Pelodiscus sinensis: one gene and its partners. The main gene of each other region encodes a partner of the protein of the gene in region 3 in a complex. Links are inferred from orthologs where the notes say so. Each region holds a gene or a part of one and is shown on either strand. Other genes may lie near its edges.

Evidence for each region.
Region 1: CHTOP (region 3) and THOC6 share a complex: the UniProt entries of both Homo sapiens proteins name them as parts of the transcription/export (TREX) complex. The link is inferred for Pelodiscus sinensis from reciprocal best matches to the Homo sapiens genes CHTOP and THOC6.
Region 2: CHTOP (region 3) and THOC7 share a complex: the UniProt entries of both Homo sapiens proteins name them as parts of the transcription/export (TREX) complex. The link is inferred for Pelodiscus sinensis from reciprocal best matches to the Homo sapiens genes CHTOP and THOC7.
Region 4: CHTOP (region 3) and THOC3 share a complex: the UniProt entries of both Homo sapiens proteins name them as parts of the transcription/export (TREX) complex. The link is inferred for Pelodiscus sinensis from reciprocal best matches to the Homo sapiens genes CHTOP and THOC3.

The regions. Positions count from the first base shown.
Region 1 is NC_134714.1:134,744,354-134,751,671, forward strand, and holds the start of THOC6 (THO complex subunit 6), read right to left. Parts: upstream 3,015-7,318; 5' UTR 2,889-3,014; coding exon 2,874-2,888; intron 1-2,873. Other genes in the region: HCFC1R1 (host cell factor C1 regulator 1), read left to right, coding at 4,619-4,842, 4,944-5,006, 5,707-5,862, 5,962-6,126, 6,202-6,349. UniProt on the Homo sapiens protein: Component of the THO subcomplex of the TREX complex which is thought to couple mRNA transcription, processing and nuclear export, and which specifically associates with spliced mRNA and not with unspliced pre-mRNA.
Region 2 is NC_134721.1:4,391,549-4,399,339, forward strand, and holds the start of THOC7 (THO complex subunit 7), read right to left. Parts: upstream 3,015-7,791; 5' UTR 2,858-3,014; coding exon 2,839-2,857; intron 1,475-2,838; coding exon 1,357-1,474; intron 1-1,356. UniProt on the Homo sapiens protein: Component of the THO subcomplex of the TREX complex which is thought to couple mRNA transcription, processing and nuclear export, and which specifically associates with spliced mRNA and not with unspliced pre-mRNA.
Region 3 is NC_134734.1:23,640,850-23,648,318, forward strand, and holds the start of CHTOP (chromatin target of PRMT1 protein), read right to left. Parts: upstream 3,008-7,469; 5' UTR 2,848-3,007; intron 1,361-2,847; exon of another isoform or gene 1,330-1,360; intron 1,072-1,329; 5' UTR 1,055-1,071; coding exon 990-1,054; intron 1-989. Other genes in the region: S100A1 (protein S100-A1), read right to left, coding at 5,411-5,554, 6,042-6,182. UniProt on the Homo sapiens protein: Plays an important role in the ligand-dependent activation of estrogen receptor target genes. May play a role in the silencing of fetal globin genes.
Region 4 is NC_134727.1:40,973,551-40,981,015, forward strand, and holds the start of THOC3 (THO complex subunit 3), read right to left. Parts: upstream 3,011-7,465; coding exon 2,789-3,010; intron 2,283-2,788; coding exon 2,126-2,282; intron 1,017-2,125; coding exon 812-1,016; intron 1-811. Other genes in the region: SIMC1 (SUMO-interacting motif-containing protein 1), read left to right, coding at 3,216-3,269, 5,329-5,976, 7,084-7,313. UniProt on the Homo sapiens protein: Component of the THO subcomplex of the TREX complex which is thought to couple mRNA transcription, processing and nuclear export, and which specifically associates with spliced mRNA and not with unspliced pre-mRNA.

The DNA of each region.
Region 1 (7,318 bases), on a different chromosome or scaffold from region 3:
GCCGGGTCCCGCCACGCCGGGGAGCCCCCAGAATGCACCGGGCCGGGTCCCGCCACGCCGGGGAGCCCCCAGAATGCACCGGGCCGGGTCCCGCCACGCCGGGGAGCCCCCAGAATGCACCGGGCCGGGTCCCGCCACGCCGGGGAGCCCCCAGAATGCACCGGGCCGGGTCCCGCCACGCCGGGGAGCCCCCAGAATGCACCGGGCCGGGTCCCGCCACGCCGGGGAGCCCCCAGAATGCACCGGGCCGGGTCCCGCCACGCCGGGGAGCCCCCAGAATGCACCGGGCCGGGTCCCGCCACGCCGGGGAGCCCCCAGAATGCACCGGGCCGGGTCCCGCCACGCCGGGAGCTCCCAGAATGCACCGGGCCGGGTCCCGCCAAGCCGGGGAGCCCCCAGAATGCACCGGGCCGGGTCCCGCCAAGGCGGGGAGCCCCCAGAATGCACCGGGCCGGGTCCCGCCACGCCGGGGAGCCCCCAGAATGCACCGGGCCGGGTCCCGCCACGCCGGGGAGCCCCCAGAATGCACCGGGCCGGGTCCCGCCAACTCGGGGAGCCCCCAGAATGCACCGGGCCGGGTCCCGCCACGCCGGGAGCTCCCAGAATGCACCGGGCCGGGTCCCGCCACGCCGGGGAGCCCCCAGAATGCACCGGGCCGGGTCCCGCCACGCCGGGGAGCCCCCAGAATGCACCGGGCCGGGTCCCGCCACGCCGGGGAGCCCCCAGAATGCACCGGGCCGGGTCCCGCCACGCCGGGGAGCCCCCAGAATGCACCGGGCCGGGTCCCGCCACGCCGGGAGCTCCCAGAATGCACCGGGCCGGGTCCCGCCACGCCGGGAGCTCCCAGAATGCACCGGGCCGGGTCCCGCCACGCCGGGGAGCCCCCAGAATGCACCGGGCCGGGTCCCGCCACGCCGGGGAGCCCCCAGAATGCACCGGGCCGGGTCCCGCCACGCCGGGGAGCCCCCAGAATGCACCGGGCCGGGTCCCGCCACGCCGGGGAGCCCCCAGAATGCACCGGGCCGGGTCCCGCCACGCCGGGGAGCCCCCAGAATGCACCGGGCCGGGTCCCGCCACGCCGGGGAGCCCCCAGAATGCACCGGGCCGGGTCCCGCCACGCCGGGGAGCCCCCAGAATGCACCGGGCCGGGTCCCGCCACGCCGGGGAGCCCCCAGAATGCACCGGGCCGGGTCCCGCCACGCCGGGAGCTCCCAGAATGCACCGGGCCGGGTCCCGCCAAGCCGGGGAGCCCCCAGAATGCACCGGGCCGGGTCCCGCCAAGGCGGGGAGCCCCCAGAATGCACCGGGCCGGGTCCCGCCACGCCGGGGAGCCCCCAGAATGCACCGGGCCGGGTCCCGCCACGCCGGGGAGCCCCCAGAATGCACCGGGCCGGGTCCCGCCAACTCGGGGAGCCCCCAGAATGCACCGGGCCGGGTCCCGCCACGCCGGGAGCTCCCAGAATGCACCGGGCCGGGTCCCGCCACGCCGGGGAGCCCCCAGAATGCACCGGGCCGGGTCCCGCCACGCCGGGGAGCCCCCAGAATGCACCGGGCCGGGTCCCGCCACGCCGGGGAGCCCCCAGAATGCACCGGGCCGGGTCCCGCCACGCCGGGGAGCCCCCAGAATGCACCGGGCCGGGTCCCGCCACGCCGGGAGCTCCCAGAATGCACCGGGCCGGGTCCCGCCACGCCGGGAGCTCCCAGAATGCACCGGGCCGGGTCCCGCCACGCCGGGGAGCCCCCAGAATGCACCGGGCCGGGTCCCGCCACGCCGGGGAGCCCCCAGAATGCACCGGGCCGGGTCCCGCCACGCCGGGGAGCCCCCAGAATGCACCGGGCCGGGTCCCGCCAACTCGGGGAGCCCCCAGAATGCACCGGGCCGGGTCCCGCCACGCCGGGAGCTCCCAGAATGCACCGGGCCGGGTCCCGCCAACTCGGGGAGCTCCCAGAATGCACCGGGCCGGGTCCCGCCACGCCGGGGAGCTCCCAGAATGCACCGGGCCGGGTCCCGCCAAGCCGGGAGCTCCCAGAATGCACCGGGCCGGGTCCCGCCACGCCGGGGAGCCCCCAGAATGCACCGGGCCGGGTCCCGCCAGGCCGGGAGCTCCCAGAATGCACCGGGCCGGGTCCCGCCACGCCGGGGAGCTCCCAGAATGCACCGGGCCGGGTCCCGCCACGCCGGGGAGCTCCCAGAATGCACCGGGCCGGGTCCCGCCACGCCGGGGAGCTCCCAGAATGCACCGGGCCGGGTCCCGCCACGCCGGGGAGCTCCCAGAATGCACCGGGCCGGGTCCCGCCACGCCGGGGAGCTCCCAGAATGCACCGGGCCGGGTCCCGCCACGCCGGGGAGCTCCCAGAATGCACCGGGCCGGGTCCCGCCACGCCGGGGAGCTCCCAGAATGCACCGGGCCGGGTCCCGCCACGCCGGGGAGCTCCCAGAATGCACCGGGCCGGGTCCCGCCACGCCGGGGAGCCCCCAGAATGCACCGGGCCGGGTCCCGCCACGCCGGGGAGCCCCCAAAATGCACCGGGCCGGGTCCCGCCACGCCGGGGAGCCCCCAGAATGCACCGGGCCGGGTCCCGCCACGCCGGGGAGCCCCCAAAATGCACCGGGCCGGGTCCCGACAAGCCGGGGAGCTCCCAGAATGCACCGGGCCGGGTCCCGACAAGCCGGGGAGCTCCCAGAATGCACCGGGCCGGGTCCCGCCAACTCGGGGAGCTCCCAGAATGCACCGGGCCGGGTCCCGCCACGCCGGGAGCTCCCAGAATGCACCGGGCCGGGTCCCGCCACGCCGGGGAGCTCCCAGAATGCGGTGGGGTTGACCCAGCCCGGTGCATGCTGGGAGCTCCTCCCTCTCCCCGGCCCCACTTACCTGCCCCGGTGCCATGAGGTCTCCCCATGCAATGCGCCTCCGTGTCGCGCTCCCCTTACGTCATCCCACCGCGCCGAGGACTGCAGCTCCCCGCAGGCTGCGCGACCCCGCCTGGCTTGGCTCCGGCGGCGAGCGCGCGCGGGGCCCGACGGGAAGTGGAGTCTCCACGCGCCGGCTGGCCCCGTTCTCGCAAAAGCCCAGGACTACACTTCCCGGGTGGCCGCGCGGCGCAGTACTCCATTGGCTCGCCCCGTCACATGACAGGAGCGGCTGCGCGCGCACCCTACAAGGAAGGCCGCGGCGGAGAATCCTGAGAACGTTGAGGTGGGGGGAGGGGAAGAAGAAAAAGCAACCCGATCGGCGCGAAAAAAACTCCCCCAAGGTCCGTACCGCGCGTGCGCCGATCCCCGCCCTAACTCCTCTCCGGGCGCGAAACGAATGACATGGCCCGCGCCGCTTGGCGTCGCTCCTTCGCTCTGCGCATGCGCGGGATCGAGCTCCGCCTTCTGCCCCGCCCTTTCTTTCGGCCACACCCCTTAATCAGGCCCCGCCCCTCTCTATAGGGTGTGGCAGCTGGGTGCGAGGCATTCTGGGAACCCCTGGACTTGGCATGACCCGCCCCAGAGCATTCTGGGAACCCCTAGGCTTGGCATGACCCACCCCAGTGCATTCTGGGAACCCCAAGGCTTGGCATGACCCGCCCCAGTGCATTCTGGGAACCCCAAGGCTTGGCATGACCCGCCCCAGTGCATTCTGGGAGCACCCGGAGTTGGCATGACCCGGCCCAATGCATTCTGGGAACCCCTAGGCTTGGCATGACCCGCCCCAGTGCATTCTGGGAACCCGTAGGCTTGGCATGACCCGCCCCAGTGCATTCTGGGAACCCCTAGGCTTGGCATGACCCGGCCCAATGCATTCTGGGAACCCCTAGGCTTGGCATGACCCACCCCAGTGCATTCTGGGAACCCCTAGGCTTGGCATGACCCACCCCAGTGCATTCTGGGAGCTCCTTGGCATTGCCTTAGCCCACCCCAGAGCATTCTGGGAGCTCCCTGAGTTGGCATGACCCGCCCCAGTGCATTCTGGGAACCCCTAGGCTTGGCATGACCCACCCCAGTGCATTCTGGGAACCCCTAGGCTTGGCATGACCCACCCCAGTGCATTCTGGGAGCTCCTTGGCATTGCCTTAGCCCACCCCAGAGCATTCTGGGAGCTCCCTGAGTTGGCATGACCCGCCCCAGTGCATTCTGGGAACCCCAAGGCTTGGCATGACCCACCCCAGTGCATTCTGGGAACCCCTAGGCTTGACATGACCCACCCCAGTGCATTCTGGGAGCTCCTTGGCATTGCCTTAACCCACCCCAGAGCATTCTGGGAGCTCCCTGAGTTGGCATGACCCGCCCCAATGCATTCTGGGAACCCCTAGGCTTGGCATGACCCACCCCAGTGCATTCTGGGAACCCCTAGGCTTGGCATGACCCACCCCAATGAATTCTGGTAACCCCTAGGCTTGGCATGACCCACCCCAGAGCATTCTGGGAACCCCTAGACTTGGCATGACCCGCCCCAGTGCATTCTGGGAACCCCTAGGGTTGCGGTGACCCACCCCAGTGCATACGGGGAGCCCTGCAGTTCGGTGGGTCTGGCTGCTGGGCAACTTGGGAGCGGCGTGGGGCAGACTGCGGCCCATCGGCGGGTTGCTGAGTGTGTAACTCTCCCTTCTCTCCCCAGGCGATGACCCGTGGATGGCCCCCCCACCCTGGCAGCTGGGGCTGGCGGTGACCCCCAGCTTCGAGCCCCGGCGCTGCCCCTGCCTTGGGGGGGACATGGGCTGGAGCCGCCGCCCAAGGCTGGGCTCCCCCCGCTGCATGGCCCCAAGCCTTGACTGGCGGCAGGAGGTGCCCAGCAGAATGCCCTGGGCCGCTCGGGCTCAGGGGGTGGTGAGCTTCACCGGCACGGCCCTACCATGGTGAGCGGGTGGGGGCGGAGGCTGGGAACGGAGGCTTCTGGGATTGAGCCAACGGGGAGGGAGACCGGAGCCCTGATTGCCACTCTCCCCTCGTGTTTCAGCGTCCGCCAGCTGCCCCATGCAGCATCGCTGGCCCTCAAACGCCGCCTGGAGCAGGAGGAGCCGTGAGTAGGGCAGGCATCGCCCCCTCCTGGGGAAACCCAGCCAGGCTGCAATGCATGCTGGGGGATCCCTCGCTTGGCACCACCGACTGGCTGTTCTCAGACCCTCCCTACTTGGCGTGACTGGGGGCAGTGCATGCTGGGAGTGCCAGGCTAGGTGTGATGAGGCAGTGCATGCTGGGAGTCCCGGGGCTTGGCGTGACGGGGGGCAGTGCATGCTGGGAGTCCCAGGGCTGGGTGTGATGGGGCAGTGCATGCTGGGAGTCCCGGGGCTTGACGTGACTGGGGGCAGTGCATGCTGGGAGTCCCGGGGCTTGGCGTGACTGGGGGTAGTGCATGCTGGGAGTCCCAGGGCTGGGTGTGATGGGGCAGTGCATGCTGGGAGTTCCAGGGCTTGGCGTGACTGGGGGCAGTGCATGCTGGGAGTCCCAGGGCTGGGTGTGATGGGGCAGTGCATGCTGGGAGTTCCCACGCTAGGTGTAGCTTGGTGAATTGCGTTGGGGGAAGTTCTTGGCCTCACGACTAGATTGATGTGAGCGGGTGCAAGGGATTCTGGGAGCTCTCCAGCTTGTCTGCACTGGTCCCCAGGAAGCCTGGTCCCCGCCGTGCATGCTGGGAAACCGTCTCGGTGCCACTGAGCGCCGCGGGGCCCGGGCGCCCCCTAGGCTGGTGTGCAGGAGCGCTCCTCTTCCCCCCGCCGCAGGCAGCCTGGCCCCAAGCAGTTCCTGTCGGAGGAGAAGATGGCTGCTCGCTTCAACTCCCTGAGCCTGGAGAACGACCACCTCTACAGCGCCAACGGCTTCCCCGCCCAGGGCCCGGCTGCCAGCCGCCCCTGGGAGCCCTGGCTGCAGGAGCAGAGGTACCCTTGGCCCCGCCCCAGGGCAGAGCACGAGGGGGGCATTGCTCACCAGCTGCCTCACCCCAGAGGTGGCTGCATCTCAGCACTGTGTTTCCCCAGGCTGCCCCTGGCTGCAGGAAGTGAGGACGCCAGCACGGCGGAGTCCGAGGAGAGCGGCGTGGTGCTGGAGGGGGAGTTCAGCATGGCCGACTGCACCCTGCTCAGCCTGGGGGAGCCGGACCCCCCCAGGGACAGCCTCCTGGCCCCCCAGCTCCTGCACTGCCTGTGAGTATTGCCCCACAGCGGGGAGGGACCTCTGGGGCCAGCCTCACTAACTCCTCTGTCTGCTTCCCCCCCCAGGAACCCCTCGACGGAGCTGGTGCTGTGGGCGCCCCCCGGCAGCCGGGTGCCCTACTCCATCCACACCCTCCTGCTGCCCTCCGGGGCACTAGCCGCCCCCCTGCTGCCTCCCCTGTGCCGGGGGCAGCCCCAGGAGATGGAGCTCTGAGACCAGGGCTGTCCCCCTCCCAGCTGGAGAGACTGGGGCTGGACAGACCGACAGGGCCTGGACACGCTGCAGCAGGGCCCCGCTGCACCAGACAAGCCGAACGGACGGTTTTATGCCTCTCCTGCTGCCCAGGCGCTAATAAAGAGGAAAAGGGCCTGGAGCCAGGGTGTCTGGACTGTTTATGGGGCTGCCCCCCCCCCCGGGCCTGGGGGAGTTTCCAGGGGCCCCACCGGGTTACATTTCACCTCCAGGCTGGAGGCGTGGGGGGGGGGGGGGCATGTTTCTCCTGGCCGGCTGCCTGGCCTGAGAGTTCAACGTGGGTGAGGCTGGCCCCATGGCGTTCTCTGAACCCCGCAGCCCACCACTCCTTACCCCGGGAGCACTGGAAAGTGCCCCCCACCCTCTCCCTGGCAGTGCTGTGAGCTTCCCTGCAGCAGTGCCCCCAGCCAGGGACTCCCACACACTTAGAACCCGTGGGCTGGAAGAGACTCAGGAGCCATCGAGTCCAGCCCCCTGTCCAATCCCAACTCAACCGTCCCCGCCAGGGCTTGGTCCAGCCGGGATGTAAACACCCCGAGGGATGGAGACTCCCCGTCCCTAGGGAACCCAGCCCAGGACTGCCCCACCCGCCTAGGGAAAGCTTTTGTCCTGATCTCCAACCTAGAGCCACCCCGCTGCTACTTGAGCCCGTTGCTCCCTGTTCTGCCACCCGCCGCCCCTGAGACCAGCCTCTCGCCAGCCTCTCCGGACCCCCTGCCGGGAGCTGCAGGCTGCTCTCCAATCCCCCCTCGCTCTGCTCTGCTGCAGACTGAACAGACCCAACTCCCTCAGCCCCTCCTCGTAGGTCATGTGATCCAGCCCCCCAATCATTTCGGTCGCCTCCGCTGGCCCCCTCCAATGCGCCCACGTCCCTTCTGTAGTGGGGGGCCCAGAACTGGACACAACACTCCAGATGTGGCCTCCCCAGAG
Region 2 (7,791 bases), on a different chromosome or scaffold from region 3:
GCTGCCACAAACGGGGCTGCTGGACTCAGCACAAGCCAGGACCGAGCAGTCCCGGCTCATGCAGACACGGTGCCACTACCTTTAAAATGTAGTAAGAGCCCGACGATTTTCACTACATTTAAAACGCAGAGCTGCAGCATGGGTGGCTCCCGGAGCTACCCCCACTGCAGCTCTGCATAGCAGTCCTATCGACTATTCTGTTAGCTCGGTAACCGCAATTTAACAGCCCTAGACTACTTTGTCAGTTCTATTTTACAACGTCTTGCTCTGAACGCTCTGCAGAATGCTCTTATAGTCACCCAAAAGAAAACTTCCTCTAAGCATCTAGTTTTAGAGTGTTGTCTCTAATAAAGTCCTCCCTTTCATTTTGAATGGAGTTTAATTAATGGGCTTTTTCGTTGACACTTTTTTATACAGAGGAACAAAAGCAACATACTATCTTCTCCAGGACATATCTGTCAGTCATCCTATACCAGAGTTCCTAAACCAGGGATATCAGTACCCTTAGGGGTACACGAGAGAACTCTGGGGGATAAGTCAACACAACTGAAATTGAGAGAAAACTGAATTTTTGTTGTCAGTCTTACAGCACTTTGTTATTTTTGTACTTTTTACACCCAAAAATTTTCATGGCCCGCCCGGCTACAATTAAGTTGTTTAAACAAATGTGTTGCACTGGTAGAAAAAAATGTTGTCTGTCTGAAAAATGTAGGTATTGGAGGTACTTATAATTTTTTTTTTTTTAAAGTGGGTACTTTATAAAAAAAAAGTTGAAAAACTCTGTACTATACTACAGCTGTGAGTTCCTGTAAAATCAGTTGCTATAGCAGAAAGATTATAACACTACTGAACTCTCAACAGTGCTTAAGCAACAGCGTAGATTCACTATTACCAACCCAAAATATTTTAAAAAAATGAATCAGGCCTTAAAAAATAATTCACTTTAAATTGAGATTTTTTAAAAGGGTTTTTTATTTGCCTTCTGGCTTTTGAGTGCTTAGAGTACAAACTTTTCAGTCTACATCAATGGGAGTAGATAAGTAAAGAAAAAAAAAAGCTGACATTCCCATCCAATTACTTAACCCCAAGACCTAGAGCTTTAAATAAAATACTAATATCAAGGGAATTGGCAAAAAATGACTCTACAGTACTAATTATCTGGGTTACATAATTGCTGCAGAGTTTGGACTGTAAACAATGCAAGGTCCTATTTAAATGTAATAAAATATGTTTTAAGATGAAATGAATTGTTTTAAGATGAAATGAATGTTTTTATAATCAAAACAAGCTTTTGGCTCTGAACTACTGGTATCTAGACCACATTGCTTTAAAGAAGAAAAACAGAGAATGGAATACCCTTCTTCTTGAGATCCAGAGTTGCACCATTTAATGAAGCTCTTCACTAACAAATTAATTCGTCTGTCATCACCAGCACCATCTCCATCAATTAGAAGTCGTTTACGAATAACTTCATCTAGAGTAGAGGAAGATCATATTTTAAAAACGTGGTAAGTTACAGCCTCAAGTTATGATTGATCCTGGTTTTGAACAATATCCCTCCCATTACAGCCTGGCACTGAAGAGAACATTTTCTATGGTTGACTGTAGGGTATTCGGTGTATCCAACCTCCCTTCCCCATTACTTCGCTGCCAACAAGTACCCCCCCCCCCTTAATTTCCCAAATTGAGAAGGTCTGAGTGGGGGCATTCTGCAATGGGGCCTGCCTGGTGCTTAGGGTTGTGTGATTGTTTCTGTGGATGGGGGCGGTAGCTCTGGAGTGGGAAAGAAGGGAAGACAGCTGGTAGGCAGAGATTCTGGAAGGGGAAGGGGACATGGGGAAAAGGGAGAAGCCTGGAGTTCACAGCTGGGGTGCGGGAGGCAGGAGCTGGGAGCCGACGGGGGCCCATTGGGAACCCCAGCAGCGGGGGGTCTCTCTGGAATACACGGGGGCAAACCCGGGAATGGGGGGGCACCCCAGGGACCTGTAGGGGCCCCCCAAAGCGCTGTGGTCTCTGGAGCGAGGGGCGCTCCGAGGCCAACGCTGTGGGGCTGGGTCACGAGCTGGGGCCTGAGAGGCAGGCTCTGGCCGGGGGGAGGGGGAGAGGCCCGGCCCGCTATCACCCCGGGGGAGCCCCGAGCGGTAAAAGGGGGGAGGCGAGAGCAAGGCCTGGCCCGGGCGGTATAAGGGGGGAGGCCTGGGCCGGAGGAGCTCCGGGCGGTATAAGGGGGTGGGAAGGGAAGCGAGGCCCGGGCGCTATGAGGAGGGAGGCCCGGCCGGTAACGGGGAGAGGCCCGCCCCGGGTGCTATAAGAGGGGAGGGGAGGCTCGGCCCGAGGAGTGGGGTGAGGGGAGGCCTAGTTGGCCCGAGGGGCCCGGGCGCTATGAGGAGGGAGGCCCGGCCGGTACCGAGGGGGGAGGGGATGCCCGGTTCGGTTGGCCGGGGGGGGGGGGGGGAGGCCCGGCCCGGGCGCTATAAGGGGGGAGGGGAGGCCCGGTTCGGTTGTCCCGGGCGCTATAAGGGGGAGGCCCGCGTGTCCCGGGGCCCGGGCGGTACCGGGGAAAAGCCTGGCCCGGGGCGCTATAAGGAGGGATGCCCGACCGGTAACGGGGAGGGGGCAGAGGCCCGGCCCGGGCGCTATAGGGGATGAGGGGAGGCCCGGTTCGGTTGTCCCGGGCGCTATAAGGGGGCAGGGGAGGCCCGGCCCGGCCCGCGTGTCCCGGGCGCTATAAGGGGAGGGGAGGCCCGGCCCGGCCCGGGCGCTATAGGGGGAGGCCCGCGTGTCCCGGGCGCTATAAGGGGGCAGGGGAGGCCCGGGCGGGCCCGGGGACGCGCTCACCGTCGGTCACGGCGCCCATGGCGGCCCAGGCGGCTGGCGGGGCGGCGGCGAGTGAGGTCAGCTTCCCACAATGCAGCCGGGGCCGCGGCAGCCATGGAGGCGGAGGCTGGGGCCTGAGCTGCTCCCTGCGGACCCGGGGCCCCGCGCTGCCGCGCCACCGGCCGGCGGGGGAGAGGGCGGGCGCACCCCGCGCGGCACCGGCCTCACCAGGTGAGGGGCGGCCGGCCCCACCCCGCGCGCCGGCCTCGCCCGGCCCCCCCCTCCTGGGCGCCCCCCCCCGGGTGCTGGGTGCGTGGGGGCCCCCTGCCCCCTCACCGTCGTGCGCCACGCGTGGCCCCCGCGCAACCGCCCGCGTGCCCGTGGCTGGCGTCCTGCCCCCCGTCTCCGTCACGGGCAGCGTGGGGTGGGTGCCGGCCTCGTTGACGCTCTCCTGGGGTGCCCCCATGGCATTGGCCTCGCACCGTCCCCCTCTGCCGCCCTCGTTGGCATCGTGCCCCGGGGTGGCCGTGATTTTCCTCCGTTGGGTTGCGTTTGCCATCGTTGAGCCGCCGCGGTTGCCGTCGTTCTCCATGATGCCTTTGGCTTCCATTACCACCCCTTCTCTCATCGCAGTTGCCTTCGCCATCGTTTCGCTTGATGTGATCCTTTCCGTTATTCCCCACGACAACTTCACCACCATCGGCTCTCTAGAATTAACATCCCTCCCCACCATCTCCCTTCTCCTGGTTGCTGTGGCCGTTGTTTCCTTCATTGCTTTCGCTGCTGTGTTACGCACTTGTCTCGTTGCTACCATGTCCCTTATCACTGTCGCCCTTATATTTGTGCTACCACTGCAATTTCTAACTCCGGTTGGGTATGACTGACCCTTTCCTAGCTCATTGAGGTAAAACATTGACAGTAACCACATTGGACCTGTGCTTATCTCTCAACAAGCGGTACTCTGCAGTGTCACTGTTAATTTTAAAATATAAAATAGTCTGAGCAAAAAAACAAAAAAAAATTCATTCTCCCGTCTATGCTAAGAAGGACCAGACATCTGCATCTGGCAGGATGCTGCCAGAGTCCCAACTGGTCCTACTAAACCCAGTGAGGTAGCTGCTCACCAACTGGAGTTGTCCTCAGCACCTTGTTTACCCTTTTACTGACCTACAAAGTATCAGTTTGCAGTGGGAATAAAAGTTATGCCCACGCTAAAGATGTTTACACCAAGGGAGAATCCATCTGTTGTTTTAGCTGGTCTGGTATCTGCCTCATCGCTCTTTGTTGAGGAGATCCATGCGGACCCAAGCTAGGAACCATAGGGGAGAGAACAAGGGGGTGGAGAGATTAGGGTTTTATTTATGCCATATGGTTAGCGTTAGCATGTGGAACCACAAGCTGTGACTCTGTAGTAACGGTGTAGTTAGCTGTAGCTGGTGTTACTGTGGTATACTTTAATAAGCATTCACGTTTCAAGCATTTTAGAGGACTTTACTTGGATGCTCTCATTCATATATATTTTTACCATAGTCTTCTGTTTTTGTTTTGATCGTCACATGTTACATAACTTATGTGCTTCTTTGTACGCTTAAAATATTTGTTTTTCTCACTAGGGTCAGTTTTTTGTTTTGAAAATTGATCTAGGATACAGTAAAAAGTGTGAGAGCACTGGAATGTTTTGCAGTTTCCTGGTTTAAAGGTGAACTTGCTCAGGGATTAATTTTGCTCCTGAGAATGGTCTTTAATAGGTACATAGGAAATGCCATACCAAATCAGACCAGTGCTTATTTAGTTCAGTATCTTGTTTTTATAGTGGCTAGTATTAGATATTTTATTGGAAGGTACAAGAATGCCAATAATGGACAATTGGTTTCTCCCTAATCCTAAGTAATTTGTGTTTGCTTTACATCCTGAAGCATAAATTTAGGTTTTGAGATATTATAGTGATGGATGATAGTAGAAGAAATAACCATAGATAAGTAATTTCTATCTCTTAAATTTTCTATATTATAGTATAAACTTAAAAAACAATTGGTCTTGCAACACCTTAGAGGCTAACAAAAAATGTAGACGGTATCATGAGTTTTCGGGGACACAATCCACTACATTCATCTGAAGAAGTGGGTTGTGCCCCCGAAAACTCATGATACTGTCTACATTTTTTGTTAATCTCTAAGGTGCTGCAGGACCATTCATTGTTTTTTAATTTTTTTCAGGAGCTTCAGGGGGTAGCTGAGTTAGTCTGTTACAGGAAAAAAAACAGCAAGCAAATGGTCTGGTAGCACTTTATAGACTAACAAAACATGTAGATGGTATCATGAGCTTTCATCTGAAAAAGCGGGCTGTGCCCACGAAAGCTCATGATACCATCTACATGTTTTGTTACTCTATAAAGTGCTACCAGACCATTTGTTTGCTAAATTTTTTCAGTTACAGATTAACTGAGACTATATGATAGTATGTAACTCTCAATAGTTTTATTATTCATATGAGTGTCTAATTCTTTGTTAAATTGGGCTAGCTCTTGGCCTCAATAATACTTCATGCCAGTGAGTTCACCAGTTAATTTTGTATGGTTTAAATAAGTCATTTCCTTTTTTCAGTTTTGCATTTGTTGCCATTTAATTTCATTGGATGCCTCTAGTCTGCTTTTTTAAAGCACCTATCATCCAGATCTTCTAGTATTATAAGAAATGATAGATTAGAGAAGTTTAAGCAGGCACTTTTAACAGTTCATTATTTTACATACCTCTATCTAATCACCTTTTCTTCATTTGCTCTGTAAACTATATTGTCTTGAACATTTTAAATCTTCCTTCATGTCTAATAATTTCTTTTCTCTGGACTCTCTCTTTTTCTGCAATGTCCTTTTAGGCCAGAGTTGAATATTATATTGCAGCCGAAGAACCACAATTAATTTATATAATGACATATTATTTTATATTATTTTTATCACTTTCTTCATCCACTATAAGACTTTTTGGTTTTTGATTACCACTGTCCATTGATCAGGTGTTTACACTGAACTCCACAGTATTATCTACATACTTTTATTTAATGGTTAAAGTTCATTTAGAATCCAGTAGTCCAGATGAGTAGTTCATGTTGTTTAATGATGTTCATGTGACTCATGTCTTCATGTGTCACTGATTATAGAACATTTCAGGGTTCTAGAATGGTTCCACTGATCTCTGTCGTTGACTCATGCTTGAATTAACAGCACTTTGATTTAAAGGAAAATGCCTGTACTTCTGTCTTCTTATCAATGGCTTTTGTTTGATAAAATTACAGGATTTTAAATGCAATTTAACACTTCATAGATTTTAAGGCTAGAAGTGAGCATTATGATGATCTAATCTGATCTCCTGAATAACACAGGCCAAATGATTCCTGTCTCAGGTTCCTATCTTCTGGTTGAACTAGAGTATGTCTTTTAGAAAGATATCCAGTCTGATAGACTTCAAGTGATGGAAATCTACTACATTCCTTGGTAAGTTGTACTAAAGATTAATTATCCTCACTATTAAAAAAATTGCACCTTTTCCCAGTCTGAACTTGTTTAGTTTCAGCTTTCATCCATTGGACCATGTCTGATAGATTAAAGAACCTACAGCTAAATGAAATCTCCTCTCCATGTACTTTTAAACTGTGATCAAGTCCCTTCTAAACCTTGTTTGATAAGAGAAAGATTGAGTTTCTGGGTCTCTGAAAGGCAGGATTTCAAAACTCATATCATTCTTGTAGCTCTTTTCTGAACCATTTTCAATTTTCCAGCATCTTTTTAGTAAAAGGAAGAAGACACTTGAACCGGAAAGCGTAATGATCTCACCAATACTATATGCAGAGACAATACCATATCTCTACTTCTACTTGATATTTCCCATTTTATACATCTAAAGATTTCATTGCCTTTTTTAGTCACAGCCTTAGCCGGGGAACTCATGTTCACTTGGTTATCCACCAGGATATCTTATTAGAATCTCTGCTTTCCAGAGTAGAGTCCTTCATCCTGCAAGTGTGACAACTATTCTTTGTTACTATGTTTATAATTTTTAATTTTGGTTGTATTAAATGCATGTTATTTGAATGAGCCCTATTTACCGTGCGATCCAGATCACTCTTTGTCCTTATCATTATTACTCCACAATTGTTTATCTTTGCCGTAGAATTTGCAGAGGACGTATTTTCTTCCAGCTTATTGATAAAAATATCAAACATTAATAGGGCAGGAACATATTGTTGTAGAACACAACTAGAATCACACAAATTCAGTTATGATTCCCCATTCATCATTTCAGGTATGATTCTCCTTTACTTTGGAAAATCTAATTAATTGATTGCAAGTTATGTAATTCTGCAGATTTAAAAATCAGATACAATTTTAAAATCCTCCCTAGTCACTGATGTAATATAAAGTCTTTTGATATTATGAGATATGAAAGCCTCACGCAGTTTCTTTTGAAATCAAGAACAAAAATATTTTGAACGCTTCTGCTCTTGTGCATTATTATTGTCTGTTTTTAGCATTAATTGAAATACATAACACATGATTTTATGTGATCGTGGACTAAGAAAAGTAGGTACCGCAGGTGTAATAAGTGTAAATGCTTCAAGGGAAAAACACTTCAAAAATAAAGATAAAGCTAACACTTTAAAAATCCTGCAAAACAGGTAAAGTAGCTCTAACAACACAAATTATGGCCATAAAAGACATATGCACAAAAGAAACCCCCTACAGAATTAGACGCTATCCTAGTATTAGAGTCTTTCCTGCCCTTTTCAATAGTATATTAGTATTAGCTGAACACAGATACTAATGGAACCAAAAGCTCTGTTCATTGGAATTTTCACATCATAGGGTGCATCTAGACTACCTGGCTCCATCGACGGAGCCATGTAAAGTAGTTTACTCGACATAGTCAGTGAAGCGGGGATTTAAGTAATCCCTGCTTTATTAAAATAAAAATGGCCACC
Region 3 (7,469 bases):
CAGGAGGTACCACCTGATAGCATTTGTTCAGAATACAATTTCTTGGGCATTTAGGAATTTCTTTGGTATGCTGGGAATTTTCCTCCTTTAAGATTATGTGGCATGAACATATGATCAAAAAGTAAGCTCTTTTACCAGTACCCTAAAAGCCACAAATGACAGTGAAATGAAGCACTACAAAGTGCTCAATGTGGTCTGACTAGAACTAACAAAATTAACAGGTCCATAATTCCCCTGTATGGTACCTGCCTGCCCTGCCATAAGCCACAGGCACTGGCTAAAAGTGCAGCCCATACCGAAATAAGGACAACTTATAAATGGCTTCATTTCTCTTTGGTTTAATGACATTAACGCTTAATCTGAGAGTGAGTAAGTGAAAAATGATCAGAAGCATCAATGTTAGTTCGTCATTATAGATTTGCAAAAGCATAATGGCATGAAAGTGCTGGAGGATATTTAAGAGAGGAAACAAAAAGAAAGCAGTGCCAAGAAAGAAAAGCGATGGAGATGAAGCAAAGCATTTGCCTCTTACAAGGCCCAAGAACATTGTTAAAGGGCCTTTGGGCTGGTTTGGTGGCCTGCTGCATGCCTCTTACAGGCCAGACCCATGCGTGTGTCTACCTTGGACAAAGCAACAAGCCTTCTGCAGCGTTGGTAACATGCTACCATGCTGCAGTGTCAACTATTTAAAATGTAAAAACATGTGGAAGAAAAAGGGAGGGTGCGAGGTTTCTCTCTTTTTATAAAACATCCCACCATATTTATGTCTCAGTTTAATATTAACAGCTACTGACAAAATCCTCCAAGATAATTGCCCTTTTAACCTTGTGTACCACATTTGCTGAGACTTAAGCCAGAGGCGCATAGCCACCTGCTTTGTTTTAGTTAGGTTAAAACAGGGCAGAAACCACGTTGGCTTTGGACACTGGACACAGTGACAATTAAGTAAAAAAATTCTTATGAGCTGAAGTTGCTGTTGGCTTCCTCACCGCTCGTTCAGAGACATCTTGGTGGTGCTCTTTAGCACAACCTTCGGCGCCGACTGCGCAGCCATCTTCAGATCGCGATAGTCTGAAATGAACAACAGCCAGTCTTAGCAGGAAGAACTGAGCCCGTAGAATGATTTGGCTAGATTTTCCAGGCCATTGTGTCTGTGGGTGAAGACAGCCAAGAACCGCACATGAGCGATGCACTTGCACCAGCAGCGTGTTTCATGGCATCGTGAAATGTCCCAATGCACCTTTCAACAGACTGGTGAGTTATGTGGTCTCGTCTAGGGATGCTGAATATCGGTTAACCGAACAGTCGAGTAACCTCGTGAATTCTTACCAAAAGCTTCAGGGGGGGTAGCCACGTTGGTCTGTAACAGGGAAAACTTTAATAGCACCGTGAAGACCGATACCAGCTGCCTGCTGTGTCAGTCTGCAGGCGCTACCAGGGCATTTGTTGAACTCCTGTCAGTTATTCAACTAGTCCACAGTGTGTGTGTGGGGGGGGGGGGGGAGAGGGGCGCGCCTGGCAGCACCCCTCTGTCGGGGGGGGGCGCACCTGGCAGCACCCCTCTGTCGGGGGGGGGGGGAGGGGGCCCCCCTGGCAGCGCCCCTCTGTCGGGGGGGGGGAGGGGGGGCCCGCCTGGCAGCGCCCCTCTGTCGGGGGGGGGAGGGGGGGCCCGCCTGGCAGCGCCCCTCTGTCGGGGGGGGAGGGGGGCCCGCCTGGCAGCGCCCCTCTGTCGGGGGGGGGGGAGGGGGGGCCCGCCTGGCAGCGCCCCTCTGTCGGGGGGGGGGGGAGGGGGGGCCCGCCTGGCAGCGCCCCTCTGTCGGGGGGGGGGGGGGAGGGGGGGCCCGCCTGGCAGCGCCCCTCTGTCGGGGGGGGGGGGGAGGGGGGGCCCGCCTGGCAGCGCCCCTCTGTCGGGGGGGGGGGGGAGGCCCGCCTGGCAGCGCCCCTCTGTCGGGGGGGGGGGGGGAGGCCCGCCTGGCAGCGCCCCTCTGTCGGGGGGGGGGAGGGGGGGCCCGCCTGGCAGCGCCCCTCTGTCGGGGGGGGGGAGGGGGGGCCCGCCTGGCAGCGCCCCTCTGTCGGGGGGGGGGAGGGGGGGGCCCGCCTGGCAGCGCCCCTCTGTCGGGGGGGGGAGGGGGGGGCCCGCCTGGCAGCGCCCCTCTGTCGGGGGGGGGGAGGGGGGGCCCGCCTGGCAGCGCCCCTCTGTCGGGGGGGGGGAGGGGGGGCCCGCCTGGCAGCGCCCCTCTGTCGGGGGGGGGGGAGGGGGGGCCCGCCTGGCAGCGCCCCTCTGTCGGGGGGGGGGGAGGGGGGGCCCGCCTGGCAGCGCCCCTCTGTCGGGGGGGGGAGGGGGGGGCCCGCCTGGCAGCGCCCCTCTGTCGGGGGGGAGGGGGGGCCCGCCTGGCAGCGCCCCTCTGTCGGGGGGGGGAGGGGGGGCCCGCCTGGCAGCGCCCCTCTGTCGGGGGGGGAGGGGGGGCCCGCCTGGCAGCGCCCCTCTGTCGGGGGGGGGGAGGGGGGGCCCGCCTGGCAGCGCCCCTCTGTCGGGGGGGAGGGGGGGCCCGCCTGGCAGCGCCCCTCTGTCGGGGGGGGGGAGGGGGGGCCCGCCTGGCAGCGCCCCTCTGTCGGGGGGGGGAGGGGGCCCGCCTGCGAGACATGTCCCGGCGGGGGCGGGAACGCGGCAGCCGGGGCACTAAGCGGGAAGGCCCCGCCCCGCCGGTGCCGAGGGGGCCGCTGCCGGGCCGGGGAGCGGCGGCGCCTGAGGCCCCGCGGCCCCCGAGCACGCGGCCCCGGGCCCCGCTGTCCCCGGCCGGGCGCAGGGCCCGAGCGGCCGCCCCCCAGCCCGGCCCGGCCGCTCACCGAAGCAGACGGTCGCCAGGACTCCGGGCGGCGCCGCGGGGCGGGGGTGGGGCGCGGGGCTGGCTCCGTGGGGCTCCGTCCCCTCCGCCCGCTCCCGCTGCCTCGCGCGGCCGCTCGCTCCCTCAGGCGCCGAAAACAAAATGGCCGCCGCCCGCTTCCCTACTCCCCCCGCGCCGAGCCGGGGGAAAATGGCGACCGGCGCCACCGCGCTTGCGCAGGCGCGAGAACGCGCGGCCCTCGCGGCGCCTTGCGCCACGTGATCGCACCCTCGCTTTCCCGCCCCGGAGGGAGGGGGCGTGGTTGAGCCACGTGACCACTCCGAGTGAATGGGGCGGGCCTTGGCCAGAGGGCAGGGCTTGAGAGGGCTCTTTCCGCAGTGGCGTGCGGATGCCAACTCTCCCGGACCGGACGGGCTGCACACCATGGCTATAAATGGCATCCCATCTGTCTGCTCCGGGAGAGCTGGCAACGACAGAGTTGGGGCTGGGAGGGTGCCATGATGGAAAGTAGGCTAGGGTGGGGGGAGGGAATAGCTGGGGGGTAGCCTGGGCTGGAAAGGGGGCATGGATTGTGGCCCCAAGGTGGAGGGTGCCAGTCCTGGGGGCAGCTGGTTAGGGGGGCTCCCCTGCAGGCTGGGGGGCGAGGGAGAAGCGTCTGTGCCCACCCCCGAGCCCCGCCCCCAGCCCTCCCAGCACAGGGCTGCTCTGCGCGAGGATGGGGCGGGCTCCGGGTTCGGCTCTCGCCCGCGTTCAGACACCAGCCCCAGGGACAGCCACAGGGCCTGAGCTCCCCTTGGGGCCCCAGACGGGACCCCGCGGTGGGAGCCCCATGGAGTTAGTCCTACGGCCGGCCCGTCGGGGGGAATCGCGAGGGGTGCGCTCCTGGGAGAAGCGCCCGCGTGGCCGGGCTCGTGGTTCTGTGTCGGCGGATGCGGGTGGCGGCGGGCAGTGGTGCGCGTTGTGTGCGCTAGGGCAGTGGTGCGCGTTGTGTGCGCTAGGGCAGTGGTGCGCGTTGTGTGCGCTAGGGCAGTGGTGCGCGTTGTGTGCGCTAGGGCAGTGGTGCGCGTTGTGTGCGCTAGGGCAGTGGTGCGCGTTGTGTGCGTTAGGGCAGTGGTGCGCGTTGTGTGCGTTACACGCGCAGCACCAGCGCGAGGCTCAAGCCTTCCGAAATCCGGAGCCAGAGACGGGATTCCCCCTTTTTAAACCATAGTAACGGCAGGGTCTTTCCACGTCCCCGCTGGGTGAAAGCTGCATCGCCGTACTTGGCAACGCGGCCTCGCGGATCCCGGTCACTTCGCTTTCACTATGGAAAAACAATGGGAAGCCACATTTGAAACAAGGCCTTGGAGGGCTCATCGTGTTCTTTCCTGCAGTGGGGCTACTCCCAGCTCCGCGTGCTGTCCGAACTAGCGCAGCCCAGCCAGGGGGTGTGCGTCTGGTGGGGACGGGTCAGTTTGCTCCCTGCTGCAAGCAGTTCAAGGCCGTTTTCTGCATCGCGGGCTTCGAGGCCCTGGCTGGGAAGGGGAGAGGAGAACCTGCAGCAGAGGACGGGAGGCCAGCGCTCAGCCTCTGATCCTGCAGGCTCCCCGACTCACACGGGCACGCCAGCCTTTTTCCTGGCCCCTTGCGGACACGTTGATCGCTGTGCAGTTTGCTTGCCTCCGACGCGCTTGTCCATGCCGCGGTGGCTGCAGTCAGCCGCGTCGGCCCTCGAGGGGCGCTCCCCGCGCTGCGTGCTGCTCAGCGAAACAGCCGGTCCCAGTCAGGGGAGGCTGTTTACTGGGCTCCCGGCCGCCCTCGGGAGGGAGATAAGAACGGGTTCTTCCCCTTGGGGAATGGGTGCGGCACCGTGTTTGTGAACTTCCTGCCCGCCCCAGCAGAAGCTGTCCAGCCCCACCTGCGTCACCCACGCTGCTGCCCCCTTCCCCCAGCCGCCCCCATTCCCCTCCCTGCAGGACCCTGCCTCTTTCCGACAGCGACCGGCCTGCTTGAGGCAGGGTCGCCCTGGGGGGGCCTGTGCCACGTGGCGCCAGCTACGAATGGGCATGAACGCGGGCTCCTTTGTGCGGTGGCCCTGGCTGAGGCACGTGGGTGACGCCAGAGCCAGCGGCCTGCTTGGCCCGTGGGTCAGAGGGGCAGGGGCCAAGAGAGCCAACGGGAGCACCGAGCACAGGTGGTGAATGGGTGGGGAGGGGTCCTCACTGGCTGGCCAGGGGCGACTCTCCCCCTGGCACTGCCCTGAAAACGGATGGCTCCTGTCCCCCCAGGAACCCCGAGTCTGAGGGCCCAGAGCCCAGCCCCACGGGCCAGGGCACGGCCTCCACCCTCTCCTAACTCCAGGGCTAGCATCGACCCTGGAGCCAGCACTCTCCCCACTCCCAACCTCCCCGAGCCCTGCTGCAGCCGTGTCCCCTCCCCACTCGGCTCGGCGGCCCCGAGGAAGGGACGGGACACCAGGCGCGTTTGGTGCCTTTAATGAGTAGCTCTGTCTAGTGGTTAGAGGGGGGCCGCCGGCTGGCTCAGAACGGGGGTGGGGGGGCTGCGGCTCCAGGGGGGCTCCCCACTCAGGTGTCCTCCCAGAAGAAGGCGTTGCAGGCCACGGTGAGCGCAGCCACCAGCACCACGAACTCCTTGAAGTCCACCTCCCCGTCGCCGTCCACATCCAGGTCCTGCATGATGCCGTCCACGGTGCTAGCGTCCTTCTGGGTCTGCAGCAGAGACGCCCGAGCAGGAAGGGTTAGGGGGACGCCGGGCTGGGGCTGTGGGGAGCCGGCCCGGGGGGAGAGAGGCCAGAGGGCTCGGCAGGGAGGGGGCGGGAAGGGCTGGAGCTGCAGTGGGGCAGGAGAAGCCAGTGGGAGCCGGGGGAAGGCAGAGAGGAATGTTGGGAAACTTCATACCAGCAAGGCCCGTCAGCCTGGGAGGGGCTGGAGCCCAGATGCCGGGAACCGTCTCCAGCCCTACCCAGGGGAGCGACCCTGCCCCGGCACCTGGCTTGGCTCGGCCGCCTCCGATTCCTGCTGTGCGGCTGGCTGCCCCCCACGGGAGGGGAGGCGGGCGTCCTGTGGTCCCTGCGCCGGACGGCGGGGGCACCTAGGCCTGCCTGCTCCGTGCCAGAGGACCCCCCCACCTCCACAGGGCCGGCCCCCGGGGCTAGCACGGTGCCACGCACATGGGGCCTGGGGGGCTGATCCCCACCTCCAGGAAGCAGCCCAGCTCCGTCTGCAGCAGCTCCTTCAGCTCCTTCTTGCTCAGCTTGCGTTTGTCGCCCTCCTTGCCCGAGTAGTGGTGGAAGACGGCGATCAGCCCCTCCATGGCGTGCTCCAGCTGGGACGCCATCGCGCCGGCCCTGTCGGAGACAGCGTGCAGGGCTGAGGGGGAGCCACCTGCCTGGCAGACCCACGGCGGGAGAGCCGCCTGTGGGGCCCAGCCAGCCCCAGGGGGCTTCACAGGGGCTGCCCACGTGGGGGCTGTGGCAGAGGGTGCGGGGACGGGCGCACCTGCCCGCGGGGAGCTGGGCAGCCCGGCCATGCCAGCCAGGGGCCGGGGCTGGGGGTGTCAGCTCCGGTCCCATGCCAGAAGCCACCGGGCGAGGATGAACCGGGCCTGCCTCCAGCCGGACCCCTGGGGAAACTTTCAGGGCAGAAATAGCACCTGCCCGGAGGGGGGTGTGTGGTTCCTGTCCCTGCCCCCTGCTCCCTTCTGCCCCAGGCCGCTGGCCGTGCTGAGCCGAGGAGTCAGAGGGCATCGTGGGGTTCGGAGCCACCAGCCCCACCCCCTGCACAAAGCAAGTTCTGACACGGGGCTCTTGATCCCCGCCGGCCTGGCTGTGCCCAGAGCCATGGGGTGGCTGCCAGGCCCCCTCGTTAAGCCCTGCCCTGCCAAGAGCAGAGGGGGCCAGACCAGAGCCGGGGTGACCCCTGGGCTCCCCTGTACAGCTGCCCCTCCCCTGGGCTGCCCCCGAAGACCCACCTGTCCCTGGGCTGCCCCTGCAGCCGCTGGCTCGGCGCTCCTGCGGAGTGAGCCTGCGTCGGCTGGTCAGTGACTTTAAATAAGAGCCAGGCCCCCCCGCCCCCCCACCCTGGTGGATCTGATTCCAGAGACTGGACAGCCTGGCTGATTTAAAGGGCCAGAGGCGGCGGCGGGGCCTGTGCGTATCGGGGGCGCTCCGAGCTCGCTGCTGCAGGGGCTGCAACGCGCTCGCACGCGCACAGAGCGAGGGGGTCGCACGCCTCCCCCAGCCGTGCACAAGCGGGTGAACATCTGACGTTCCCCCCAGCCAGTGCCAGCTGAAGGGGGGGGGGCTCCTTGTAACCCACCCCAGGGGCTAAACCGGGAGCAGCCCCTCTGCTCTGTGGGGCTGGGACCCCAGCGCTCCCACCGACCCCATTCTCAGCAGCAGGCACGGGCCCCTCTCCTCGCCGTGGGCTTCAGTGGTTCCCGAAGGGACCCTGCCACCTCCCCCTCCTCCTGCGTGGCCCTGGCAGAGGCTCAGAGAGCCCCGGCGGGAGGGGAATTGTTCCGCTGGCTGGCGGCCCCCAGCATCACCGACCGGCACCCGATTTCCAGCGACCCCCACCTGCTCCTGGGGCCCCCTGTGAGCCGGGTGCTCGCGCGGCCGCTCAG
Region 4 (7,465 bases), on a different chromosome or scaffold from region 3:
CCATTACTGTTTACCTGTCTCTTAGTAAGTGGGCCCCAGAGGAGCACCATGACATCATCTGGAAGGGAGGTCCCAATTATGGGATTGCTCGAGCTTGATGTTATTCAAGACTTTCCTTCCCCTCAACAGCACAGAGGCTGTCGGGGGGGGGGGGGGGGGGGGGGAGGGGAGACTGCTCTACTGTTACCCTGGAAGTCTCTGCAGTGTACCTCCCTCTCTTTTAGCTCCTCCAGTTCAGCCACCCTGGTCTCAAGAGCCCATACTTGGAATCTGAGGGCCATGAGTTGCCCACACCTGGTGCACCTGGCATAGAGGTGCAGGACCCTGAGGTTTTCTGGGGGTAGACCCAGTCCTTGCGCTGGGTCAGAGATGGGTGCAGCCTCATCGCTGAATCTGTGTCGCAGGGGATAACTTCACAGCGATCTCCCACCTCTGTGCACCCGGTGTCCTGTGCTTCCCAGTCTCATGCTGGAGCCGTTACTAGGTACATCTGCCTCGCAAAACTCCCATTTCTTTTAACACCCTGTTCCCCTGAGATAGGCCCACCCCCTAAGGCCCACCCCCAGCAAGGAACCCTAAAGGGTTAGCGATCAAAGGACAGCAGACTAGAGCCCCATTGGGAACCTCTCAGCCTCGTCTACCAGCCAGCTTATGACAGCACACAACCCCCCAACCACACCACACTGTAGCCCTCAGCTATTGCCAAGGCAATCAGTCTACACAAGAGCCATGAGAAGGAAAGACAGCCCGAGGGAGCAGGGCAGGAGATGTAAGAGGGGGGCCCCGCACTAGAGACCATGCCGGTAAGTACCTGAGGATGTTGATGCAGCCGTTTCCGTTGGTGAGGAAGAACATGTTGTTATCATTGTTCCAGGAAATCTCATTCACCTCAAACTTAAACTGCTCCTCAGCCTTGGAGCGATGTGTTTTGGCATCAATGAAGGTGACCACATCATCCTTATTTCCCACAGCAATGGTCTGGCCATCGGGGCTCCAGCAGATATTAATGTTCTCTCCTGGAATGGAAGAGAGTGGGCAGGTCCTCCCGCACCACTAATGGGGGCAAGAGCCATTCATGTGCCATAGACAGACTCTTGTACGTTTAACCCAGGTCTGCCCCACAAACCTTCTGCCTTGAGTGGCAAAATGCACAGACAGCACCTGTGGTACCTTAAAGACTAACAGATATATTTGGGCATTAGCTTTTGTGGGTAAAAACCATACATCTGACAAAGTGCTTTTTACCCCCGAAAGCTTATGCCCAAATATGTCTGTTAATCTTTAAGGCGCCAGAGGACTCCTCCTTGTTTCTGAACAATTTTTTTACATAGTAGTGACTCAGGGGTGTTGGAACAATTTGCAGGGGTGCTGCTAATCCCAGCTGAGTTAGGGAGAGCAGGATTCACCTGCATAGCACCCTAGCACACATTTCCCGCACCTATATACCACCTATATACTGACTGGAATGAATATGTAACGAAACCTTGGAAGAAAAGATGCTTAAAAAATAGAAATGGGAGGACTCAACGTTTTTTTCTAACTTCTAGCTATCCCTTCTCCCTAGAGCCACACACCAGAGAGATTTTGAGACAGTCTAACATCAGTGCACCTCCACCAATACTAGCGCTAATGTAAACAGGTTCAGGTGTTTAACACTGTGTCAGAACATGGCTAATGCTGGGTACACACACAAATTCTCCCTGGAGATAGTGTAATGCAGGGGTTCCCAACCTGGGGAACGAGAAGCTTGTCAAGGAGGTACGGGAGCCAAAAAAGGTTGGGAACCCCTGGTGTAATGTATAGTTATAATTTGCTACTAAGAGCCAGAAAGATGCAATTGCCACACAATCATCATATACAGAGCTTGACAAATGGCAGTGAAAGCTGCTCGCCAGCCCCGCACTGAGCATGCGCATGCCACCGGTAAATGGGGTGTGCAGCTGAAATCTACTCGCCACGGGTGAGTAGATTCTATAGTTTGTCGAGCCCTGATCATATAGAGCTCTCAGGTTTCCTGAATTTACTGGCATCCATGTTGGGAGCAGGATGCATTTGCAAAAGAAGCAGTGTTTGTAGCTGTACTGAGATGTGCGGGTCCCTCTAACCTCCTCACATCAGCACCCACCTTTGGTGTTCACGGTAGCGATGCACTTCGTGGTGCGGACGTCCCAAATACGGATGGTTTTGTCTCCAGAGGCGGTAACAAAGAGGTCGGGGTTACTGGGGTGCCAGCACAGCTGATCCACACTATCCCCGTGGCCACGATAATTGTTCTCCTTCACCTACAGGAAGAGAATTGTTCTCCTTCACCCCCCGCCCCCGCCAGCCTCGAGCCCCTCGCCCTGCCCCACTGAGAAGAGCCTCTGGCCCCCCGGGAGCCGCAGGCTGCTCTCAACCCCCCCCCCCCTGCTCTTCTGTGGACTGAACGATCCCCAACCCCCCAAACACGTCGCGGGCTGCGGGCTCCAGCCCCCCCCCCCAGCCCCTCCCGCCCCGGCCGGAGCCCCCTAGCCCCGCCCCGCCCCCCCAGCCCCTCCCACCCCAGGCCAAGCCCCCAGCCCCGCCCCCTAGCACCTCCCGCCCCGCCCGGAGCCCCGCCCCCTCCCACCACCAGCCCCGCCCCCTAGCACCTCCCACCCCAGGCCAAGCCCCCCAGCCCCGCCCCCTAGCACCTCCCGCCCCGCCCGGAGCCCCGCCCCCTCCCACCACCAGCCCCGCCCCCTAGCACCTCCCGCCCCGCCCGGAGCCCCGCCCCCTCCCACCCCAGCCCCGCCCCGCCCCCTAGCACCTCCCGCCCCGCCCGGAGCCCCGCCCCGGGGGGGCGCACCAGCCGGTCCTTCTCCAGCACGAAGACGCTGGCGGTCTTGTCGAAGGAGCCCGAGGCGAGGCGGCGGCCGCAGCAGCTCCAGGCCACCGAGTGCACCTTGGCGCCGTGCGCCGGGAACTCGCGGCTGCGCGTGTTGGCCCGGAACAGCTCCTGCATGGCCTGCACGTACGGCGAGAGCGCCATGGCAACCGCCGCCCGCGCTTCCGCTTCCGCTTCCGGCGCCAGGGGCGGGACGTCGCCCCTCCCCCCGCGCTGCAGCGCCCCCGCGCGGCCGGCCCGTGCACGGGTCACAGGCCCCGCCTGCAGCCGCGCGCGGACCCCTCGGGCCGCTCCCAGCCGCCTGCCCCCCCGGCCCCCGTGAGCGCCCCCGCGCGGCGCGGGGCGGGGCATGGCCGAGGGCGCCGCGCGCACCCGCCACTCGGGCTCGGAGCGGGGCCACGCGGTGAGTCCCGGCCCCGCCCCCCCGCGCCCCCAGTGCTGCCCCCACCCCCATGTCCCTCTGGGCCCCCCCGCCCCCCCACAGCCCCGTGCCCCCCCGCGCCCCCAGTGCTGCCCCCACCCCCCATGTCCCTCTGGGCTCCCCACTGTTCCCCCTGCACCGCTGGCCCCCCAGTGCTGCCCCCCACAGCTTCGCGCCACCCTGCACCTGCCTGGGCCCCCCTCACACACCCGCACCCCTCTGGGCCCCCCCGCGCCCCCAGTGCTGCCCCCCACAGCTTCGCGCCACCCTGCACCTGCCTGGGCCCCCCAGTGCTGCCCCCCCACACACACCCGAACCCCTCTGGGCCCCCCCGCCCCGGCACCAGACTCCCGCCCCCCCCCCACAGCCCCGTGCCCCCCCGCGCCCGATGCCCCTCTGGGCCCCCCAGTTCTACCCGCACACACCCCCCATGTCCCTCTGGGCCCCCCACTGTTCCCCCTGCACCGCTGGGCCCCCCAGTGCTGCCCCCCATGCAGGGGCAGGTGCCCCTTTTGCGGGGCTCAGGGCAGTCCAATTTCGCGGGGCCCCCCTTTGCCACGGCGCATGCGCGGGGCCCAGGGCAGTCGCCCCTCTCGCCCTGCCCTATATCTGCCCCTGCCCCCATACTCCTCTGGGCCCCCCACTGTTCCCCTGCACCACTGGGCCCCCCCGCTGCCCCTCACACATACCTTGCGCTCCTCTGGGCCCCCCAGCGCTATGCCCCCCCACAACCCCTTGCACCCCTCTTGGCCCCCCGGTGCTGCCTCCCCATGCCCCTCTTGGCCCCCCGGTGCTGCCCCCACACACCGCCCCGTGCTGCTCCCCTGCATCCCCCTCGCTGCCCAACCCCAAAACCAAACTCTCATGCCCCACTGCTTTAGCCCCTGTGCACCACCATCCCTGGCTTCCCGCCGGGCGCCCCCCTGTGTGCACATGCACGCACTCACTATGCCTAACCAGACCTCCATGGGCCAGGCCTGATCCTCAGAGCCAGTCAGCTGGTGTGGCTGGCAGGGGTACCAGCACTTTGGCTGGCTCGGGGGCCAGACATGGCTCAGGTTTGCAGTGGCTGCCAATGCTTATCCTGTTGGCTGAGGCCCTGCGAGTTGAGAGGGGCTGTTCTCAGTCCAGTTCCTCGTGCCCCGGCAGCGGGGTGGAAGTGGGTGGGTACGGCGTGCCGGAGAGAAGTGGCTGCCCCTACCGTCCTGGGCACAGCCCATGAGGGGGTGAGCAAAAGTGGCAGCTGCCCCAGGGCCTGGTGGTTTAAAGGCCCTGGTTTGAAAGGCCGGCTGGGGGAAGCTGACCTCCACCCCTTCCCACTGGGGCCCCGGGAGCTGGGCTCCTGTACCAGCATGCTTTGTAAATTACTTTCACCATGACTAGTTGCCGTATTTCGACCTCTCGGCACTCTGGGTCAGCACTGGCTTGCATAAACCCCTCCGTGATTCTAAGGCTAGAAGGGGGCCGCTGTGCTCGCATCTGAGCAGCAGAACCGAAGGCGGCTCTGAATTTCTGGGCCAAATCCCGAGGCGCTGGCTGCGAAGAGCAGAGCGTTTAGAAAAAACATCTGCTCTTTATTTCAGAACTGCCAGGGCTGGAGAATCCGCCCCAGCCCTTGGTAGGCTGGCCCGGGGCTAATTACCGTCACTCTTCCACATTGGCCTTATTTCTAGTCTAAATTAGTCTAGTTTCTGCTTCTGGCCATTGGATCGTGAGTCCTTGATACATCGAAGCCCCACGTAGCTACACCCAGACTGTGCCCAAGTCTCCCCTTAGCCGTCTCTTTGTCAAGCGAAATAGCTTGAGCTCCGGGGGTCTCTGACATTTGTTCTTGAGTCTTTTAACCCTTCCTGTGACTCTGCCGGGAGCCCGCTCCCATCTTTCAACCCTCTTTCTTCACGGGTGAGCGTGGGGTCCCGGCAGGGCCTTCTGGGTGCTGATGCTGCCCGTGAGGAAGACTTTCATGTGGGCTGTTGAAGCTGAGCTCCGTCCTGGGGCCCCAAGGCTTGGGGGCAGCACTGACGGCTCTCTCTCTCCCCAGGAGGTCATTGATCTGACGGGCGAGGACTTGGCGGTGATTGACCTGACCGAGGGGGAGGGCTCCCCCGAGGTCGGCGCGGAGTGTGCGCTCCCTCCCCACGGCCCCCTGCTCCCCGCCGTAAAGCAGGAAAGCAAAGAGGAGGCCGAGCAAGGCTGCGGGGCCCCCTGGGACAGAGCCCACGCGGAGACAAAGGGCACCCACGGGGGAGGCTGTTTCTCCTCCGACTCCAGCAGCAGCAGCACCACCATTAACAGTGACCTGGGCTCCCTAGCCAGCCTCCAGCTGGACTCCGACGTGTTCTCCTTCTCCTCGGCCAGCAGCTGGAGGGCAGGCTCGGACTGCTCCGTCCCCGAACCTCCCAGTAGCTGCCAGCCAAGGGACGACCCGGACTGCGGGCCCCTGCCCCCGGCTCAGAGACTCTCTCCCGACCGCTCCAGCTGCCCCCCTGCAAGCGGCCGCGGGTCTCCAGAGTGGCCTTTGCTGGAGACTAGTCGCTGGGTGCTGGGTGCAGCGAAGCAGGAACCCCCCGAGCCAGGCAGGCGGAGGCTGGTCCACAAGGCCTGGCTGCATAAGCTGCGCTACTTCAGGAGGATGCCGGTGCACCACTTGTTCCTCCAGGGAGTGGTACAGGACGAGGAAACCCGCCAGGTAAGCACGTGGGGCCCCTGCCTCCCTCCCGGGGCCAGGTGGCGCCTCTCATATGGGGGGGCGATGCTTGGGCTGCGCCCCCGGCCTTTCCCGTCAGCCGGGCTCTGTGGCTCAACATCCCAGCCTGCAGCCAGCGCACTGCAAATTCGGGGGGGGGGTTACCAATGACTTGGGGTTTGGCCACCTCCTCTGCAATGCGCCCGTCCTGGCCTCTGGCTGCCTTGTGCCCGCTCAGTACCGAGCAGCGCCCCAGCAAGGCAGAGCTCGAACAGCGGGTCGCGCCTGGTAAGGTCCCGCGGAGGGCAGGGGACAGCAGGTCTCCGCTTGCGTGCGCCAAGGGGAAAGGTGCGGTCTCTGCGCAGATGAGCCTGTGCCGATCCCCTCTGGGCAGCACTGCGCAGAGCTTACGTCACCAGCCCGAGGAGCTGCTGGGCCGGCCTGTGAGCTCTGCCGTCCTGCTGGGGTTTGGTGCTGGGGAAATGCCCCGTTAGCAAAGGGCCCGGCGAGCCGGGAACCCGGCGGTGTCAGCATGGGCCAGCAACGGTCCATTGAGATGGGCTCCTGTGCTGGAGGCAGGCAAGCCCGCAGGCCAATCCGTGAGTGCCTGCACTGCCCGGGGCCTAGATGCATCTTCTCAGCTCCTAGAGGCGGATGCAGGGCGTTCTTGCTTCCTGGAGAGGGCCGGCCGGGTGACAGCACAGCTGCCTTTGGGTGACTGAGCCATCGCTCAAAGCCCCCCCGCGGGGCATGACACCCCCCAGCTGCACCAGTCGGTAGTCATGGTGCTGCACCTGGGGCTGGGTAGCCGTCCAAGCTAGCCCCACCTGGGTGACCGCAGCACGGCCCCCGGCTGCGTACCCTTCCCTTTCTCCTGCCCCAGGAGAGTTCCTGGGAAAGAGACCCCTTTTCCAGCCAGGGCTCTAGGCAGCGCCCAAATCGGCGAAAAGGGAGCTAAGGCACGTTTCCGTGCTGGGGCATTCCACCCCCGCCAGCCCCTGGGACGAAGCACAGCCAGGCAGGGGGTGAAACTGTGGTTAGTCCTGGCAGGCTGCACGGCGCCCCGTGTGACACGGCGCCTCGCACGGCTGACGCCTCACTGTCTGACAGAACGCCCGCCGGAAGGCCCAGCCCATCCCCAGCACAAAGCTGAGCATGGTGGTCACCACCATGGAGGAGAACTTCCCCCGGGGGACCCTGCAGTTCCTCACGGACTTCGTGTCCTGCCAGCATTACCCCCCGAAGGAGATCGTGTCCCACGTGACCAGGAACATCCTGCTGAGCTCGGAGGCCGGGCCTCTGCTGAAGGACGCCTACATGCTGCTGATGAAAATCCAAATGTAGGTGCTCTCTGCCCCGGCTCCGTGCTGCCTGGCCGGGAGCTTGCTCCCCGTATGGCGCTGGCCGCCAAACACTCCGGCAGGGAGGCCCCTTCCCAGCACGGTGGGTCCGAGGGCCTGGTGGAGGCTGGTGCCCGGCCGGGGTGGCACAC